4 linked regions of the Schizosaccharomyces pombe genome follow. The gene in region 4 interacts genetically with the main gene of each other region. Each region holds a gene or a part of one and is shown on either strand. Other genes may lie near its edges.

Region 1 (4,103 bases), on a different chromosome or scaffold from region 4:
TGGACATGTTCGCCTACAACAGGATGGTCATTATCTTGACTCGATGATGCATTTGAAGTGTTTTTTCCAAGTAAATATCCAGCAGTCAAAGAAGCAGCTGCAACGCCAGATACAATAGGCAAAAAACGGCCTTTCCATACATCAGTTTTGGTTGCAGTACCAAATTTTCGACAAATGCCTGCTTGAAATCCATTTCTCTGCAGTAGAGACCTTCTCATATTATTGTAACCGTTAATCCTTATACATTTTGGAAATCTGAAAAGTAAGTTTTTAGCAAACATGGTTTTTTTGATTTATGGGAAGTTGAGCTCTGAACTTCTAATGTCTGCGTAATGGTCAGAAAGCGGCGACGATCTTACAAGAACGTAACTTTGTCATTCATTCTAAGTTTATATAAGTTTGCATGTTTTTTAAATCAGATTTAAGTAAATAGGTATTCACAAATGTAAGACAAGCAAGACTGGCAGGATTTACGAGATTACTAAGAAATGCCTGAATGACTAATTTCATAATAGAATTAAACTAGCGACATAATAGTTTCACAAGCAAACTTAGGTATGCAAAACAAAAGGTAATTCATTTATAATATTTAATTAGAAGAACGTGAGTATTATTTTCTATAATATGTTAAATTTTTACTATAATAATGTACCAGTAAACGACACTGAATTTTTTCTTTAAAAGAAATATACTGACATCCCAATCTATTCTTCCTTGCCAATTATGTCAACCCAACGTTTGCCCTTAAGCTCGGCAAGAATCTCTTGCTTAATCTTGTGAGCAATTACAGGACCATCATATCCCAAAGCAGTATAAACTTGAACCATAGTTGCACCAGCACGAGCATACTCAATAGCATCTTTGCCAGAAGAAATACCACCACAGCCGATGATGGGAATATCGGAAGAAAGATGCTTACGAAGTGTGCGAAGAGTATTTAATGCGATAGGTTTGAGAGGAGGTCCAGAAAGACCACCCGTCTCTTCAACATGGCTAGTTGATTTGAGGGTCTTAGGGCGTTGAACGGTAGTATTACCAACGATCACACCGTCAATCTTGCACTTTTTGAGGACATCGGCAATGTCCGTGAGTTCTTCTTCGTTCAAATCAGGTGCAATTTTTACAAGTACGGGAGGATGAGGAGAGTTCAATTTATTGCGCTCACTGACAACAGCAGTCAATAAAGTTGAGAGGGCAGATTTCTTTTGTAGGTTACGAAGACCAGGGGTATTAGGAGAGGAAACGTTAATGACAAGAATGTCAGCGAAGTTACCAAAGGTACGAACACCTTCAACATAATCCTCAATCTCGTTACCGTTCTTATTCTTGCCTAAATTGATACCAAGGAACTTGTTAGGAATTAAACTACGAGGTACGCCAAGGACAGCGGGATCAGTGCAAGAAGCGGGATTTGCATCAAACTGTTTTAATAGTTGAGGAGATGTCTTAGCAATGTATTTGCGAACGCGCTTTTGAATCTTAGCAAGGATGGCATCATGGCCGATAGAATTAAAACCGTAACGATTGATTACAGACAAATCAGGCTTAAGGCGGAAATAGCGTGGTTTAGGATTACCAGGTTGAGGTTTAGGTGTGACCGAGCCAATTTCAAGATAGGAAAACCCGAAGTTCAACAAACCTGAGATAGCATCGGCTTGTTTATCGAAACCAGCAGCTAGACCAATGGGATTGCAAAATTTCTTACCCCAAACTTCAACGGCAAGAGATGGATCATCAGCTACACGATCCTTCGGTGTTATACCCCAAGAGGCAGCGAGAATGGCGACACGATGAGAAAACTCAGGAGTGGTGAAAGCATGAAAGAGAGGCATTTCAATGCGGCCATGGATAAAACTACGAACATCGGACATGTCGTAAATGGCAACGCCGGCAGTAAAACTACCAATAACACTCAAAAGCTTCCAATGACGGAGAAAGAAATTGCCATTTGAAGAGCCAGAGCTGGTAGATTGAAAACGTACAGAGGAGCGCTTTAAACCCTGAGCGACACCGCGAAACAAAGATCGTTGATACATTTTAGTATTTTTAATAGAATTCGGCTTAAATAAAAAATTTTCAAAACGAAATTGAAAAAAATATGAATGATAAAATAATAAAATGAAGTTTTATAATAGTTTATGCTTAATATATTTAAACACCAGTTTTTTTCCAAACACAACAAACCCAAGAAAAAATAAACAGAACCAAAAAATAAAAATATGGATTTAAGGATCAGAACAGAATCGTCAATCCGTTTCTTTATCCACCTAGAGACAAGAAGTGTTAATTTATATAAAATGGAGAACTTGGTTCTAATAAGATTTCAACGAAAACAAAGATTTCAGAACCGAAAAAATTTCTCCAAGTGCTAGCAGAGGTATATTCTCTGAGAAAGAACAAAAATCAAAAATTGAATGTTTATATTGAATGTTACCTGTAACAGGTAACATGTTTTTTTAGTAATGCCGGGCTGTCGAAATTTGACTATGAGTTTTGTAAATAAAGCGATGGTTATAAACAATTTTATGATAGTTTTTGCTTTCGAATTAACATTTCATAAAAAATTTGAAAAAGAAAAATTTTAAAAATTTAAGGACAAAATCCACTTGAAAAACAAGTGCGAACAGCTTTTTGCAAAAAAACTACAAACCACTACACATTAGCGAATAAGCCTATTAGGAATTTATTTTAATTTTTGTTGATTTAAATTTCTTTTTTTTTTAAATGGTTAGAATCTAGTTGATAAACTTCTAGCAATGTATTTCCAAATTGTTTCTATTACGTTCGTTGATACAGGCAATTGTTCATTTCTGGTATGACTAAAGCATTTCTATACAATTCAACTTCTCATTTTTTCTAGCTGTATTTATGATGTACAGAGCGTTGGGAGAGAGTTGATTAAGTCAATAGTATTTATGAATGAGACAAGGAACACTCATACTATATCAATGATAAATAGCTTTTATATTATCCTGTTATAATCATAAAAATTAATTTCATCTATATAGACTTAGAAAAAAATGGTTTCGTTTTCACTGTCCTTAAACTACAAATATCGTACACGTGTTACTTGTTCTTCAGGTGTACCCTCACTATTGTCAAATCTTATGAAATTCTTTACTCGTTGACTTGATTGTTATGCGAACAGTATTTTCGCAAATTCCTCGTTTTAAACAAGTCAATCAGTACATACGGATGTCGACAAGGCAGTCAGACATTAGGTTTGTTAGATAGAAGACAGACGTTGACTAACCCATATAGCAACTTCTTCATTTCTTCTGCTTCGCACAAAAGCGAGCACGTGGAGGTTTCTCAATCGTCTTCTGATTCCAAAAATGTTGATGGGAGAAGCACAAGCGAAAAGAGAAAGGTCGAATCAGTGAAATTAGTCGACGAGTCGAAACACAACAACCACGACGACACTGGAACTCAAAATGTTGAGCGTGAAAATAATATTGTGTCTGAGGCAAAAAAGCAAAAGACTTTAGGTTCATCCTCCTCTTCTTCAGATGCCGTATCTAGTAACAACGATTCTGGGGCATCTACTCCAATACCTTTGCCAATCAAAGAACCACCGTTAGAGTCCAATGCTCGCAATGATAAGTTAAAAGGTCATGCAACATTTGCTGAAATGGTAAAAGCATTCACAAAAATAGAGAATACTAGCAAACGGTTGGAAATCATTGATATAATGGGGACTTACTTTTTTGGAATTCTTCGCGACCATCCCAGCGATTTACTGGCCTGTGTGTATTTAAGTATCAATAAGGTATGAACGTTTGGTTTTAAAGGATTTCTCCTTCTCAGTACTAACGTCTTTTTTTACATTAGTTGGGCCCAGATTACTCGGGACTAGAGCTAGGAATTGGCGAAAGCATTATAATGAAGGCTATTGGAGAGTCTACAGGGCAAACGCTTCAACAGATTAAACTATCGTTTCACAAAGTTGGTGATCTTGGTCTTGTAGCTCAAACATCCCGTCAAAATCAACCCACTATGTTTAAACCTGCAGCGCTGACAATTCCATTTTTATTTGACTCATTAAAAAAAATTGCTCAAATGAGCGGAAACCAATCCCAAAATAGAAAAATTGGAGTGATCAA
Region 2 (4,034 bases), 1.5 Mb from region 4:
TAGACCAAGCTCAAACGCTTTGAAATCGGATGCAAACGAAAATACGGACTCTTCTTTGCCGCCTTCCAAGAAGGAATTTATTGAAAAATCTCTGCACAAGTTATCTGAACCATTGCATGATGATTCTCGTCAAAATTCTGATCACAACTTTGCTCCGCATTCACGTCCGATTGCAATTCGTGTGGCCACAGCCTCTCAACGCGAACTTGAGCAAACTGAAAAGCGAAAAGCAAAAAATGGAGCAGCAAATGCTTCAAATATGGAAAGCCGCTCTTCTGAAAACGAAACTCATCGCTTCAAAAAGTTCTATGGTAAAGAACGAGAGTTATCAAACAACGAATTTCCAAGTCGTCAGACCAAAACTGTCACATCAGCCAATTCATCTAACATTAGGGATATGGAACATACTATTTCCGATAAACCTCGTTCTGAACCAGATGCTATACCATCAAGTAAAAGCATGCACTCAAATAAGCCATTTGAGGAAAAATCAGAAAAACCAACGACCAAAAGACTTGTTACTAACCCATCAAATGTGAATGCTTCATGGCATTCAAATATGTTAAAAAGACAAGAAGATTTACGAAAGAAGAAACCGTTAACCGACAACGGTGCAACTTCAAGGCATATGCTAAAATCTGGGTTAACACGCGTCACGTCGAAACCCACTCAAAGGTTTGCGAATGAGCTAGCTGAGGACATGTCATTGGCATTTCATTCAACTATTCCAAAAAAAATGGAGCCTGACTCAGTTACTTCTGTAACTCAGCCTTCTGTTGGTAGTTTGAGAAACAACTTCGATATAGGGACCACTAATAGTCAGAATGAAGATCGAAAAAAGAAGATAGCTGCACAAAAAAATAAGAATCCCGTACATGGTAATGTCGGTCTTACGAATCAACATGGATTCAAAACAATGCATCACAACGTCAACCCTTTTACTAAGCAGAATGGTATTATGAAAGGAAAGCTTCCATCTTCTAGTACTTCACAATCAAATAAACCTTTTATTGAAAAAGCTTCTATGCACGCTCCAGCTAAAGGTAGGAACTCGTCTATGCAGGAGCCCTCTTCTAAATCACCGTTACTGAAAACGCCTAAGTCGAATTATTTTCCTGGATATGGATCCCTATCGCCTAACACGTCTGTGGAATTACCAGAAATAAATAGCGATTATTCGGATGATTCAGATGATGAAGGTAATAAGAAAAAGGTAAATTTACCATCGTGGGCTGAATCACCTGAGTTACGAGAGCAATTAAAACGACAACAAAAGTGGGATCCAGACAAAATTTTCGGTATGATTAAACCTCTGCAAATGGATGAGTATTTCCGATCGAAGGATCGATCGAAGATTCGATTTCGACCAAGAAGCTCTTCTGCTGACTGGTCATCTCAAGATCGTTTGACCCAAGCAGAAATTGATAACTATAAGAAAAACATGGGTTTTTTATAGAGTTCTGGATTTTTGAAATGAATTTTGTATATTAAAGAACTGGGAAATTAATAGAGAAATACTTTAATTTATCTTATGAAACAATTTGCATAGAGTTAGATGACAAAATTAAATTAGATTAAAGGTTTTTGAATCTACTAATAACAATTATAATGAAATAGACCTCCATCTTAGACATTGAAGCATCGCTGATAATTAGTTTTTGTGCCGCAATAACATTAGCCATTAACAAACGTAGTTTGACATTGCCAGAAACTTAATCTACTTGTTCAAAGTTTTAATTTCTTTGAACGAAAAGAAACTGTGAAAGTACTTCTATCATCAATAGTTTAGCACAGTTTACATTGCTAGTTTTGGTTACACTAGACATTTACGTTCCACCATTTTAATAAAACTAGTGTAAAGCTTTTTTACCGTCTGGTTGGTTACTTTAAAAAAAAGAATTATTCTATTAAATGTGTGAACTAACGTAACCCGCACCTGAATAAATCATCCTAACGAAACATTAAGTCTATGGAAGAATATGAAGATTTTGAGATGGAAGATTTGAGCGAATTAGTCTCTTATATGGACTATCTTGAAACACAAAGATTGACTATTAGCCAATTGGATTATTCTTTGAGCATTCCACCACAATTGCTCGTAAGCAGGGAAATTTCTAAACTAGAGGACGAAGGTACGATATATTTCACTCAAGTCATGAACCAGACAAGCTAATAATCAACGTTCAGTTTGTGAAATGTTAAAAGAAAGTTCATTATTCCAACTGTTTCGAAAACACAAAGGTTATTTAAATGTAAGGTCTTTCTGAAGTTTGTGAATGATTTTTTATGGTTTTGTCAACAGATTTATAATAGCGGATTGAGACAATGCTATTCTTAGCATAATCATTTACAAGCATTAATCAATTGCATGTTTTTCATTTACTGACAGAACCTATTATTAGGTTACTGACCTTGTTTTACCTTTGTGGTGTGAAGTGCAACATGAATACTATTTATTGAGAAGAATTAAAAAAAAGACCCCGAAGATGGAACGCGGAATTAAGCTGCATCAAATACTTGAGTATGAAACCTCCCCTCCATCAGAACGTCGAGTGCTTGATCGGACATCCAAGGAGGAACCATGGGCATTACGATTATTAAGGCAATTAGAAGGTATTATGTTATTACAAAAAAATGGAATTACAAGAGAGTTTCCAATCTGGGGATATTACAAAGAGTCCTCAATTTTTGGCATTATTGATGAAATAAGTCTAAACAACCCTTCAAAAAGCAATTTTAATAGTGACATCCGCAATTACTTCAATTTCAAAATGTACGATTTAAGTTTTGTTGACAATAAAACTCGGTTTTCTTCCAGAAAGCCTGGAGCTTCACAAATTCTTAGTTCCAAAGTACAACTAATGTATTACGTTCATCTCTTTTTAAATTATTTCCCCTCTCTAGGAGAAAAACAACAAAGCATTTTTAGGGATATTTCTCCTACATATTCTAACAGACTTCATTCTCAAAGTCACTGGTGGAACATGTTTTTGAGCCAACTATCGCTGGACGGCACCAAGGACTTGGGGCCGAAATTTTTAGAGCAATCAATTCTTTCAATTCCCGATATTCCTGAAGATGTCTTTGCAGGTCATAACTCGCTAAATGGACTTTATGCACTCGTATTTGCTTCAGCTAAGAAGTTGCATTTACGTCTTACTGATGACAATCTTACCATTGTAAGTGACACAACCAATTAACTCGAAAATTATTTCGTTATCATTACAACTTTTAATTTTTTTTACGATGATTAGAATCCTTTTCGTAATATGATTGTCTGAACTATCGTTACTAACATCTTTTACTAGGCATACAGGAATGACAAAACAGGAGAAGTGGTATACAAAGACAAATTCTCTTTTAGCAATAAATTATTAGAAGCTTCCTATACTAAGGCTTATCAATTTTGGCACAATTTAAGGGAGCCTGAAGGCGTTCCTGCAGAGGAAGTCTACAAATGCCGAAGTTGTGAATTTCAGAAAGAATGTTGGTGGCTCAAAAAGAAACAGTATTACCCTCTTTCAAGTCCGTAATTGGGAATAATGACAGTTGAAAAGATTCCCAGAACATAGTTGGTCATTGGCATCCTATATGTTTAGCAACGATTTTCTTCCATCATATTTTGATAGGGCTGCTAGGTTGTTGAAGTCATCAACTTTTAATTTTTTTATCAATCTTTAAGAGGCAATTGAAATCATTTCTATGTAATCGATATAATTTGTGTTAAATCTCTATTTAAAAGAGCATGGTTTTTTTATTGCATTTTCTAGATCTCGGTGACGATGCAATTCTTTGGTAGCTTGTTTGTTTCTCTCCTAGGTGCCGCGGGTCTAGCTAATGCTCTACCATCACCAGGCATTCCTAGTAATGACAAAGATTTGGCCATTTATCCTCCTGTCGATGCCAATAATACTACTTCTCAAGATGTCGTTATAGACGTAGTTCTATTTAACGGTACTGAATGGATTTCCTCTCGCGAGAGATTTTCACTTGTTTCACCAGGATGGGCAAGCATTTACGGTCCATCGGGTCAG
Region 3 (7,253 bases), on a different chromosome or scaffold from region 4:
TAGATCTAAAAACAAAACAGAAGGCAGATTCGCAGATTTGAAGAGCCAATAAAATTAAAACAAAAAGAAAAAATCCAAAAACAAAATTGTGCAAAAGTCTGAGGTATACTCTTCAGTCAAGGAAGTTGGGAGGCTTGGTTTACCAACAAGAGACCAAACGAGTTCTAAGTCAAATAAGGTATGCGATAGTAGAGTAAAGATTAAAACCACCATAAGAACCCGGTTATATCTGGTTCAGCTGAAAAGCTTTATGTAAAGAACAAGTTCCCAAAACTTGCTAAAATTCTTCAAATATATGCTACATGCCATATTTTTGATCCGCAGTTTATTGCTGTAGCTAGTGTCGAATTGAAAATTAAAATCCAATTGAATTTAATTATTTTTACATGAATGAAACAATTTACTATCGAGCACAGAAACTGATAAGTGTAAGAAGAATGAAACTAACACTGTTGTTACGTTCCATAATTAAACACTGACAAGAAAACGTAGCTCTGCTATTACTTTCACTATTCATTTTGTATCAAAATTTTTAAAATGGATCGAGGAGAACAATTGTACAATTGTATATCGTTGAAAAAGCATGAGGAAAATACATTGTGTGTAAACGAGTTTTGTGTAACAGTTCTATTTGAACAACTATGAAAGTATTAACAGCCATACAAGGTCATTTTACGAGAATTGACCATTCTTATATTACCGCGAGGCTTTTTCCTGGATTTGCCAAGAAATGCAAAAAACTAATGTCATTGCATTGTCTCGCTCAAGAGTGAGAACATTAACCACTTTTGGGCAATATCCACTTTTCAATAGCATATCTTTAATGAATGTAAGGAAATATTTTTCTGAAAAGAAGGAGGGACGGTCAATTGATTAAGTAGTCGAATTGTATATAGATAAAGATTTCCTCTCATCTTAATACTCGATTGCTACTGAAGATGATTACTTTTAACACGGCATTGGTACAGTGCATTATTGATTGATAACAACACCCACACCAAATATGGCGGATTTCCTACATCAAACAGCGTGTCACTTTTCAACATCGATATTTGGATATGGGCCCAAGGAGTTCTAATCGTCGTTCTAATGCCAAAGATGGCTTCAAGGGTTCAAACAAGGCATCCAAATTTCCATTACCCTTAGCAATGTGGGATTTTGGACATTGTAATCCAAATGCCTGTTCTGGTAAACGATTAGAGCGTCTAGGATGCGTACGAAACCTTAGAATTGGACAGAAGTTTCGAGGAGTTGTAATAACGTAAGTTGAGAACCGTTAGAAAGAAACCCGATCTTAAACTCTTGTCGAATGTTTGCTGTATACAGCGCAAGGGCACTAAGACTAATTATTAATATTTTTTTACCATTTTGCTATGTATCAGATTTTAACGCTGCAGACCAAACGGAAAAGTTCCTGTTTCTCCAGCCGATAAGGAGTACTTTGATAATGGAGGTGCTAGTGTAGTTGAATGCTCTTGGGCTCGCATAGAGGAAATCCCTTTTTCTAGAATTGGTGGTCGCTGTGAGCGGTTGCTTCCATATTTAGTGGCCTCCAATCCAGTTAACTATGGTAGGCCTTGGCGATTAAATTGTGCTGAAGCTCTGGCAGCTTGCATGTATATTGTCGGATATCCTAATGAGGCGAGACTTTTAATGGATAATTTCAAATGGGGACATTCTTTTTTTGAGGTAAACGAAGAACTTCTCGATATTTATGCTCAATGTCATGATGCTCAAGATATTCAAGAAAAAGAAAAAAAATACTTGGAGGAAATGGAAGCTTCTTACCAAGAACAAAGAAATCAAACTACTGACGACATTTGGTCAGCTGGAAATTTAAATCACAAACCAACATTAAACACCAGTTCAACACATTCAAACTCTGAAGAATCTCGGTCACCATTACACGAACCGTCCGAAGCTTCATTGGCTCATGACGAACACTCTATTCCAACAGATGATAATGAAGAGACTCTAACTAATCTGCAAGCCAACGATGTGGATGAAGATGAAGTCTGGCGAAAAATCGTGAGAATGAAAGTTCATTCTACTGATACCTAAAAGATATATACTTTTGGATTTTTATATAATTTATAGTTTGTCTATTATTTATCACCTGTTTTTTGTGCTTTACATATCCATGTAAGGTAATATTGTATAGAGAGATGCAAAATTAATAAATATGGTAAGCTTTCAATAAGTTTCATAAACAATCATAACCTGATAAATGCAAGTAAAAAAAAATATAACTTTCTAAGGTATATAGCTTTTTAAGCCTGAAAGAATCAAATCTTTCTTCGTTCCAGCCAAAGAGTCCTTAATTTCGTTTGCCCATTCAGCGCTCATCTCTTCTAAATCGTCCATAGTATTTTCAATTCCTCCTAACATATTCCCCCGTTGGGCTAAATGGTCGTTTATTTGAGCGAAGAATCCTTTCTGTTGTTGTTGCCTTCTTGGAGGGATATAACTTTGAGCAGACTGAGAAGTCATGGAAGGAACCGGGGTCAGTGGTTGCTTAACTGATTCTGCTGGGCGAGCTGAAATAACTTTAGGAGTCTCTAAAGTATGCACTTTACTTTCAGCCCTGTTTTCACCTCCGAGTAAGATATCTAGCTCTTCAGCAGATGTAGACTGTTCGCCCAGTAACCAATTCCACAAGGATTTACTAGGTCTTGGCGGTACATGGGAAGCATTGTGAGTAATAAGCATCATGGGTGCCAAATTCGCCAATGTTCTCCCACTTCCTAAAACACAGCCAAAGGCTAATTCATGTGCTCCTAACGTTGGGAAAATATAATCCCCATTGCCTAGAATATCACCTTCTTTGAGCCTAATGGAATAGTTAGCAAATTCATTTCAAGTAAACACCTTACCTATTTTTATCAATATCCAATGGAAGTTGCATTTTACGTTCCTCACGAAGGTTTGGGAGAGAATACCAATTCACCGAAAGATCAGAATTTACGCAAACTACGGAACCCATGTGTTTGGAAACAGTAGAAAGCACAAGAGCTGCTCGACAACAAACAGGTTTTCTCCAATCCAGGTTACCCACTTGATTATTAATTTTATTAAAAACAGAAATTCCTGAATCGCCAATATACACGAGGAAAACTTCCTGTGGTAAGGGATATCCAACGCTTTGTAATGAGGATCCAGTGGCTGTCGCGATCTGGCCATCTTGAGTTAAAGAGCATATTTTATAAATGTTCTTAATATCTAATTGTCGAGATGATTCAAAATAAGCAGAAAAGCGCCCTGAAGAGGAAGGGTCTATACGGAATAAAAGTGTCATCCCTCTATATGTTCCTGTGACTACGTAGATTGAGGAAGGGCTTCCTTTAGGGTTCATAACGACAAACTCGGCACTCGTAAGAAAATCGGGATCAGGTTTTCCTCTTCTCTCTAATCCAAGCTCCGAGATGCTGGTGTTACACAGTATATGGGGGCCACGCATGTCGATGATTGTAATTCCACCATCCTGATATCCTATACAAACAAAACCAATATTGCTCATTTGGTTCAATGTTACTCTTCCTCGTTTAAGATCAATATAATATTGAGCATGTAATGTTCCCTCTAGAACTAAGGTATCGTCCAAACGATATATTCCGTTAGCGAGCTGAGCTGGTAAATTTTCTTTATGATTTTTCCTTTTGCAAACAATGACACGCCCAAAACTATCAGCACAACTGAATTCTGGATTATAAGTGGAAAAAGAGGCAGTAGTTATAAAAGCTGAAGGCGTGAGATGCTTTCGCATTACAGAAGAGAAATCCAAATTTACGCAGAGAGATGGATTCATAAAACCCTGAGATATATCCCAAATCGATAAACTAAGACCAGTCGATGTTATAAGTAGATTACGCTCATCTAATTTCTTAAGATAGCCGGGACTAGGAGATCCGCCAAAAAGACAGGAGTAATGTGAATTAACGGAAATAGTATCTTCAATTTGATTCCAAACTTTTTTTGTTACAGTTTGAAATGCTATAACTCGAAAATCTGAAGCAAGGAAGCATAAAGAGGGGGGAATAGAAAGGCTCATGTTTGAAATATTTCCAGTAGAAATGTCGAGCAGCGATAACGAGTTGTCTTCCGAAAGAAGGAGAAGATTCTTGGGATTATGAGATCCATTGTAATGTGGTGAGCTAGAAGGAATCACCAGCATATCACGTACAGGGGGGATGTCAATAAAAGGAAAAAAGCGTTGTGAGTTTGGATTTGCGAAAAATTCCGCAAATGTTTCAACATCCTTTTTGGCAGGGAGATTTCGATAACTGAACAATGAAATTCCCTTTACCGGTGCTTCTTTCGGCAAACCACCTAACATCAAAATAAATGAAACTGTTGGGTCTTCACAACAACACCACCTCATAGACCTAATGGGCTCAAGCTCCGTCTTAGGAGGATTTCTCTGCATGGGGGTATACGTGTGTATGTTTGAATCGACAAAATTTCGGACTTGTACAGGATATTCTTGATCCACATCCCAGAATGCAAAAGTCGAATCAGTATAGTAACTAACAAAGTGATCACCCCAAGGACTCCACTCTATCCCTTTGACTATAGGTCTTCGATAATTATGGGGTGATAAAACTGCAGCTGTACTACCTGGTGCATACTCCAATTCATAAAAGCGTATAACTTCGTCAGTCCTTATTGAGTACAAAACAACGCCATCCGGATATGCAATCAAAATCACACCGAGATCCTTCGGGTGAATCTGAACGCTTACAACTGGGGATAGCTTTCCAGGAACTGGTGCATAAGAGTAGCCTGAAAATTAGTAATAAATTCAAATAAACAACAATGACCTCAACGTACCCATCATTCGCCATTCCTCGTGTCTTGGGACATACAAATTTGGAACTTTGAATTTTCCAAGGCAATGTCTAGTAACATCCCATGGCACAACGGAGCCATCACTCATTCCAAAAAAAACCCAATCAATAGTAGGATCCGTTACGGTACATGTAACTTTTTGCTTGAGAAAGTAAGTGGCAGCTGGTTTTGAAAGGTCACGATGTTTCATCAAGGGATAGCTTAAGACCGTATTTCGAGAGTCAATTACAATCAAATACGCCGCACAAAGGGCTATATGGACAATGGTTGAACAGTCTGGAACTATCACACTCTGGACATGCTGTTTACCGTAAATGTATATCCGATTAGTACTAGATACAATAGCTAGTAAGCCTTGTTGATGGTCTAAACACCATAATACTGGATTTAAGGAAAACCCAAATCGATTCAACTAATCTTTGTTATTAAACATTCAACAAGCATTGCTTCCCTACTTACGTCGTCTATCGATAGTGAAGCATTTGAAGACGTATGGGTCTTCAAATTGGATTTGGATAAAATTTCTTTTCCCTTACTTAGCTTTTTTTTAAAAAAGCTCATATTTTCCCAATTCTTGGTATAAATATACTAATCATGTTATACCCTCGTAGCATATACAAACTCACGCTCAACTCGTGTTAGAGAACGCTATTTTTGGATAACGTCTTGTGCCGTTAAACCAATAATAATGTAAGCTACGCAGTTTGGTATCTGATTTAAGGATACGTAAACTGCGGTGAGTTTTCCTTGTAACCTATTATATTACAATAAACAGGTTGTATGAGTAGCAACTGAGTATTGTATTAACTGTGTTATAATGTTACCTATCACTAATATAGCTCATAACTGAACTGAGGAACGAGGTTCAGTTGTAACGCTATTTATAATATTTCTAAATAGTTGTTATCAACTGGTAACTAGTATATAGATGGATAGTTACCCGTGATTATCAATAAACGGATCTTAGCTAGTATTCCAACATATGACATATAGTGATACACAACGTAGTGTATCATAGCGTAATGTAGTATTGCTGACAAATAATGAGACTTCTAATTTTATCCTTATAGCACTGAATTCGACTTTGCATCATTCACTAGTCAAACCGCAAGCGATTTTGAGCGGGCCTAAAGCCAGACACCAAGCTGGAGATTGCTTGGTTTACCCGTGAAGGTTTATAGAATCGAAATATCAGTTTTACATTGATAAAGTATCTATTTTTAATTCTCTATTATTTTCTAACAGGCTTCTGTGGAATTGGCGGTATCATACGGGCTGCATGTCAAAACACATGGGAAGTCTTTTTGCAATATCTTTAAACCCTGAGTACTAGTGATTCAACATTTCTCTCCTTTCTTAATATTTTATTTACCTGCAAGAAATTGGGCTATTACTAACATCCCAAGTCTGTCTTTTGCAAATTAGTTCACTCGTTTCAGCCGAATCTTAATTTTTTTAATCATAAACTACTTAAGCAGCAATCTCCAATTCGTTTGACAAAAAAAAGGTTTTTTATCTTGAATTCTTTTCAAAGTAACTAATACTGTTCTGGGTATATGGCTGCCGATATCGGATCGCAGTCATCAGGCTCTTTGGAAGAACGGTTTGAACAGTCTCTTCATCTTCAGAATGTCGATAAGCAAGATTGGTCACTTAACAGTGTACTTCAGTTTTTAAAACTATACAAATTTAACAAAGAATGGGAAGACGTTTTTATTAAAAGTCGAATCGAAATGGATTTATTTATCAATTTGGCCGATCAATCAAAAGCCGAGGAATTCGCCTTTAAAAATAAATTGAGCAAGGAGTCTGCCATCCAATTGAGTAGCTGTATTCGCAAAACACTTTTAGCACCTTCTTCGACTCGCGTACCTAGCAAAAACTCGTCTTACGAAACATTAACTTACAGCGCCAAAGATAGTTCGGATGACGTTTTTACAGAAACTAACTCTGGTTTCCGCTCTTCAAATCAAAATTCGTCCCTCAAAAGCTTTCAGAGTGTTCCTGATAGCAATGTGAACGTGTTTGGTGGCTTCGGTGGATCAGTAGTCGACAACAATGAGCTATTGAGCACAGGAAAAAACTCCCATCAAACAACCTCTTTAAATTTGGAAGGCTCTCCTATAAACTTACACGCTTACAAAGGAACTGTCACTTCAATAATTAACGATGACAGCAGAAACATTAATAAAAAAACATTGTCGAAACAACCTGTATCCGAACATAAAGAAAAACAAACTAGCTTTCTCCGTCGTTTCCGGGTACCTGGGTTTTCTCGTGACAAGGATAAAACTAAAGATTGCCCTTCTTCAAATTCGAACCCATTCCATTTAGCTTCTTCAAATGTGAAAACATTAGACGCGTCTTTGGATCAAGGTGAGTGGGTACCTCGTATTCATCGTTTAGAA
Region 4 (5,003 bases):
ACTTTATAGAAGTATAGCCTGTATAAAGACGCTCAAGTATTAAAAAATATAAATTCACATTTCGTTCATTATTCTTTAGAGTGTTAGCTCTGCAGACTCTGCTGATTTTTATTTTGTTTTCGCAAGTAGTAACCAAATTATAGAACCTCTTTGACCTCCTCGGAGAGGAGACTCCCGCAGCTACTACTACCGAGAAGAAAACCGCTGCTTCTCGTGACAAAAAGCGCTCCGACAGCCCTCCTGTCCCCCGCGAATTAGTCGCTCAAAGCACCACCTCTAGGAAGCGTGACCCTAACCAACCCACTCCTCGTGAGCGTACCGTTAATAAGAAGGCAGACCAACCTCGCAGACGCCGTCAAGCTCCTCAAGGAAACGAAGCCTTTGCTCGTGAAGGCAAAGAAGCTCGTGCTAACAACGCTGCCCATCCTGTGGATGCCACTGGCGCCCCCTCCAACCGCCGCAATGCTCGTGCTCGCCGTGGTCGTGAATTTGACCGCCATAGCCAAACTGGTAGAGTGTATGTGTTTTATTTTTCTACATGTGAATGCCAAATTATATAATTGCTAACCATTATTTTAGTGATACCAAGAAGGCTACTGAACGTGGCTGGGGTGATCTCGTAAACTCTGCTGCTAACCCTGATGTTGCAGAGAACGAAGGTAACACTCCCTCTGGAGCCCAAACTCCTGCTGCCGAGGAGGAAAATGTTAAGACTCTTGATGAATATCTGTCTGAACGCAAGTCCGCCGCAAAGCCTGTTGGTCGTACTGTTGAGAAACTTGAAAACGCTACTAAGGTCGAGAAGAGTGCCCCCGAAGAATTGTTTGCCTCTCTTAAGAAGAGCGCTTCTCAAAAGAAGTCTGCTGCCAAGGAAAGCAAGCCAAAGAAGGTTCTTCTTGATATCGAGCAAACTTTTACTGCTCGTCCTGCTCGCGGTGGCCGTCCTAACCGTGCTCCCCGTCGTGGTCCTTCAGAAACTGCCTCAAAAACCCAACAGGCACCTCCCACCCTTTCTGAGACTGACTTTCCCGCTCTTGCATAGATGAACTGGTGACTTGAGAGTAGCCTATTGATGTGGAGCGTTTGATTGGTCTTGGATGAAATTTCGTTGTCAAGCGTATGTGGAAAGGTGTGTGTTATCTTACAGATCCCTTTTTGTTTATTTTCCATTGAGCATCATTCGGGTTTCTAGGTTATTCAGTGATTCTTATCATTAAAGCGGTCTAAGGTGTATTCTGTGGTTGCATTCCCTTTTTTGATCCACATTTTGCGATGAATTGACTAAATATTTTTCAAAATGGTCGAATACTAGTGTGTAAAAAAAATTTCATTCTCGTATCTATTCACAACTAATATTAAGAAGATGCGCGTTTAAATCGTCTACCGACTGTTATCTTGATATAACGTATCTTATTTTTAATCTGTAAATATCAGCCTTAGTAATTGTGTACATAACAAAAGCATATTTCAGTGTACGGTAGGTCTGCCTGTGCAATTCACAAATACTCCATTTATTATTCCAATTGATTTTGTCATTTTCAAATGTCGTTTGCAGGGATATTGAAACGGACGTTGAATAAAGCCTTCTTAACCTTGTAAAATGACTATAGGAAAGTTATGAACGAGTTTGTGTATCGGTAACATAACAGGTAAATCACTCTTCATAATGCAAATTGCGGTTTACTTTTTATAGCATCATTTTTGATAGCTATTTAAAAAATTTGAAAGTTAATATAATTAATAAACTCGAGGATATGAGCAAACTGATAAAACGCGCTATATCGCGAATTCGCGCTTTAAAGGGCGTCGCGTCGCGTTGCGTTGGACACCGCTTATATACGTGCCACAAGTACGCAACAATCGACGAGTCGCAAAAAAACTGTCTCTGATTATTACTTTTCCTTCTGATTCTCTGCTACTAGGAATCTTTATATTGGTTTCCGTTTAGAAAAAATAACAAGATGGATAGGTCAATGGAACCATTGACCCCATCTCGTTTAAACACTTTGGGGGAAAGGCCAACAAACGAAGTGTATGAGTATGGAAAAGGAAAAAATGTGCAACATTTATTTCCTATAACACCGATGCAGAGACCATTAGGAAAAGAGAATGCGGCTCCAGGGACGATTTCACCGATTGCGGTTCGATCTCGAAATGTGCGTGCAGTAGAAATTGCAGATGAAAATGCATGTGAAGAGCCAGTCTTAAAAATAAAATCTGTTAGTAGTACGGAGAGTGAAGAGGAAAAAGAATCTTCTACTGAGATAGGAGAGAAACAGGAAAAAGAAACACATTTAGAACCCAAGACACCAGTACAAACCAATACCAACAATAATCACTTAGACGACATTCAGTGTTGTGCTAAAAACTTACGCTTACGTCTTGAATTGGCTATGTATAAAGTACAAGTTAATCAAACATTTTCCCCTCTGCAAGATCTTCCCATTGTCGCTAAAACGAAGCTTCACAATTGTCCAAACTCTGAACCTGTTACCTCCATATGGAACCAGAGATCGCTTTCTTCTGGAAAGCCTCCGTCCTTACATCTTTCAGGGAATCGCAGGCTTTCCATGGGATCTCCCACGAAGTCGATATATGATCAGAATGGTTTGACAACGCCAAGACCGATCGGTTCTGATGATCTAACACATATGTATGATCCTTATACCTCTCCTTTACGCACCCCTTCTCGTACGCTATCACGCTCCTCCTCTCATTATCTGTGGGTTCGTCATGGTAAATTGACACGTAGCGTATCTCTTTTACAACATAAAACGCCTAGACGCATTCGGCCAAAATCACTTTCTAAAAGCAATTCTACACCGTTAAAGCATTTAAGCGCTCAGAAACCAAATTCAAATTACTATACTGGCCCGCCTACTCCAGTATCCATATCCAACACTCCAGAAAACATTCATCCATCATCTTCCGAAGTAAGGCGTATTGCAAGTCACAGCAAGCAATTTTCAGACTATGGTTTAATTCGATGATCCTTCTTTTTACATTTTAAACCGAGTTATGGAATAATGTTATGAGATGATTTTTATAATACTTTAATTACTCTAGTTGTCGTTCATTTCCTTTCTGACAGATTTCTATATGTGAATTATTTTGAAATGCAAAAAATAACTTTTAATTCCTCGCAACACGTTCTTTTATTTCTTACTTGTTATGTAACAAGTCAGTCGTTAATAAAATTATTATCGCTGGTAAAGCCATCCTTCGTTTTATTTAATGCCTTAATTCATACGTACATCTTATATTGAGGTTTCTAGATTTCTTATATCCATTGAAATTCGTTCCCTCCGTTTGGGATCCAGTTTTTTAAGATATTACGAAGAATTTGCTTTTGCTGGCAACGTTTGATGTTGAGTTTCTTCCATTCATAATAGTTTTTTTCATTAGTCAACGATTGACTTAATTGATGCAGCAAATTCATCATACTCTTTCTACATATTAATGTTTGAGACTTTTCAACGTCTTTAGCTTTTGTTCCCGCTTTAATACCATTATGTATCACTTGAGTACACTGCATTTTATCACCGATCCATATCAAAACGTTTGTACTAGTTGCAGTTTTTTCTGCTTGGTTCAACGGCCGTGAATATAAAAAATTTTCATCCGTTTCCAGCACGGTAAAAGGATGAAAGTAATAAGGATTATCCTTTTCTCCAAATTCAGCAAGTGGTGCGCACCGACCAAAGGGTCCAAATGCTCTGTCAATTGCTGATTTAACTATCACTTTTTTATAAAGCACTACACATGATAAATAGATGGGCTCACAAATGAGGCTGGTCTGGGAATTCAAAATAGAAAGATATTGTTTTGCAGCTAATTTATCAGTACAGCTTTTGCTCCAGCTTACTGGGGCATCAGGTCTCCCCGGTTTAGTACGCACGATTCCAAGTAGTCCAAAATCCGCCCTCCCACGCATTAATTTCTCTGAATCAACTGTTAAGTTCCATGGTTTGTTGTTTTCCAAGCGGCTAGCTAGTAGCTCCATACTCGCATCTCCGCAAGGACATTCGGAAACGTACAGATGTATCAGAAGATTGCTGTTTAGAGTAAATTTACCATTATCAGCAACTTCAAGAAGCCACGTATCTTTCTTTGATTCTTTAATTAAAATACAATGTTCGAGAAGTAATCTTAATTCTTTTATTAGTAACGAATACTAACAAATATACAAATAATTGTATATATTACCTGTTAAAACATCTTAATGCCAGAATCTCAGCATGACAATCATGTAATACACTACCCAGTTGTTCATTCTTAATGATGCCAGCTGGCGTACTAAATTGACTTGTTAATGAAAAAAATCAATTGGTAGCATACCATTTTACACCTGTTCTTTAGATGTCAGTTTACCGATATTAATAAAAAAGACGTACGCTAGACAAACACAAATAAATTCGTTCTCCATCTTTTTCTGAATGACAACACCGGCTAAAGTAGTCCATTCACGCACCCCATTTGCTCTTATGATCGGTTTGCCATGACGGGCTAGTTCATCAAATTTGTTAAGGACTGCAAGAGCTATTAAATTCCCAACATTACTGTTTCTATCTAGGGTAAATTCTTCCATTTTCTAATGAATTTCATAAATCCATACTTTATATTCAATTGTATTAAGAAAAGAGTACTTCGGGAGCGTAAATCCTGTGATATGTTGTGACCGTAATTAAATACTAATATTTTGTTTCCAACTGTTAATTAATAACAATTGGGTATTCCTAATAGCAAAGCTTATTCGCTGTAAGTGATTGAAGTACAAATGTTGGCAAAAGCATTTGTGGTAGTGTGTTGAAGCAAGTAATTTTGTCTGCATACGAGTAATTTACCAACTACCACAACTATTAGAATGTCACTTTTTGGACAGGCTACAACATCTACAGTATCTAATGCAACCGGTGACTTAAAAAAGGATGTGGAGGTTTGTTAATTTTACATATACGCTACTTACATTTGCTAATTACACGATAGGTTGCCCAACCCCCGGA

The links.
Region 1: mutations in nrm1 (region 4) and ura3 together harm fitness more than expected from each alone (negative genetic interaction), as found in Schizosaccharomyces pombe (one large-scale study listed by BioGRID).
Region 2: mutations in nrm1 (region 4) and exo5 together harm fitness more than expected from each alone (negative genetic interaction), as found in Schizosaccharomyces pombe (one large-scale study listed by BioGRID).
Region 3: mutations in nrm1 (region 4) and sro7 together harm fitness more than expected from each alone (negative genetic interaction), as found in Schizosaccharomyces pombe (one large-scale study listed by BioGRID).

Annotation. Positions count from the first base shown.
Region 1 is NC_003424.3:1,384,806-1,388,908, forward strand, and holds ura3 (mitochondrial dihydroorotate dehydrogenase Ura3), read right to left. Parts: upstream 2,341-4,103; 5' UTR 2,037-2,340; coding exon 705-2,036; 3' UTR 552-704; downstream 1-551. Other genes in the region: disulfide relay system thiol oxidase subunit Mia40, read right to left, coding at 1-281; ATP-dependent DNA replication ligase Cdc17, read left to right, coding at 3,139-3,221, 3,262-3,769, 3,832-4,103. UniProt on the Schizosaccharomyces pombe protein: In the de novo pyrimidine biosynthesis pathway, catalyzes the stereospecific oxidation of (S)-dihydroorotate to orotate with reduction of flavin and the transfer of electrons to ubiquinone, which is part of the respiratory chain.
Region 2 is NC_003423.3:2,770,915-2,774,948, forward strand, and holds exo5 (single-strand DNA-specific 5'-3' exodeoxyribonuclease Exo5), read left to right. Parts: upstream 1-1,938; 5' UTR 1,939-1,969; coding exon 1,970-2,132; exon of another isoform or gene 2,133-2,187; coding exon 2,188-2,252; exon of another isoform or gene 2,253-2,402; coding exon 2,403-3,179; intron 3,180-3,308; coding exon 3,309-3,533; downstream 3,534-4,034. Other genes in the region: INCENP-like protein Pic1, read left to right, coding at 1-1,456; SPOM_SPBC685.03 (uncharacterized protein), read left to right, coding at 3,783-4,034.
Region 3 is NC_003424.3:615,997-623,249, reverse strand, and holds sro7 (Lgl family protein), read right to left. Parts: upstream 5,427-7,253; 5' UTR 5,407-5,426; coding exon 5,305-5,406; exon of another isoform or gene 5,258-5,304; coding exon 4,828-5,257; exon of another isoform or gene 4,780-4,827; coding exon 2,874-4,779; exon of another isoform or gene 2,831-2,873; coding exon 2,254-2,830; 3' UTR 2,062-2,253; coding exon of another isoform or gene 1,398-2,061; 3' UTR 1,262-1,397; coding exon of another isoform or gene 1,059-1,261; 3' UTR 547-1,058; downstream 1-546. Other genes in the region: SSU-rRNA maturation protein Tsr3, read left to right, coding at 1,059-1,261, 1,398-2,061; MEK kinase (MEKK) Mkh1, read left to right, coding at 6,402-7,253.
Region 4 is NC_003423.3:4,284,081-4,289,083, forward strand, and holds nrm1 (protein nrm1), read left to right. Parts: upstream 1-1,863; 5' UTR 1,864-1,961; coding exon 1,962-2,990; 3' UTR 2,991-3,280; coding exon of another isoform or gene 3,281-4,148; 3' UTR 4,149-4,206; coding exon of another isoform or gene 4,207-4,296; 3' UTR 4,297-4,338; coding exon of another isoform or gene 4,339-4,353; 3' UTR 4,354-4,394; downstream 4,395-5,003. Other genes in the region: oga1 (protein stm1), read left to right, coding at 144-517, 580-1,042; tad1 (tRNA specific adenosine deaminase), read right to left, coding at 3,281-4,148, 4,207-4,296, 4,339-4,353, 4,395-4,588; nucleoporin Rae1, read left to right, coding at 4,865-4,936, 4,987-5,003. UniProt on the Schizosaccharomyces pombe protein: Negative regulatory component of the MBF complex involved in cell-cycle-dependent transcription.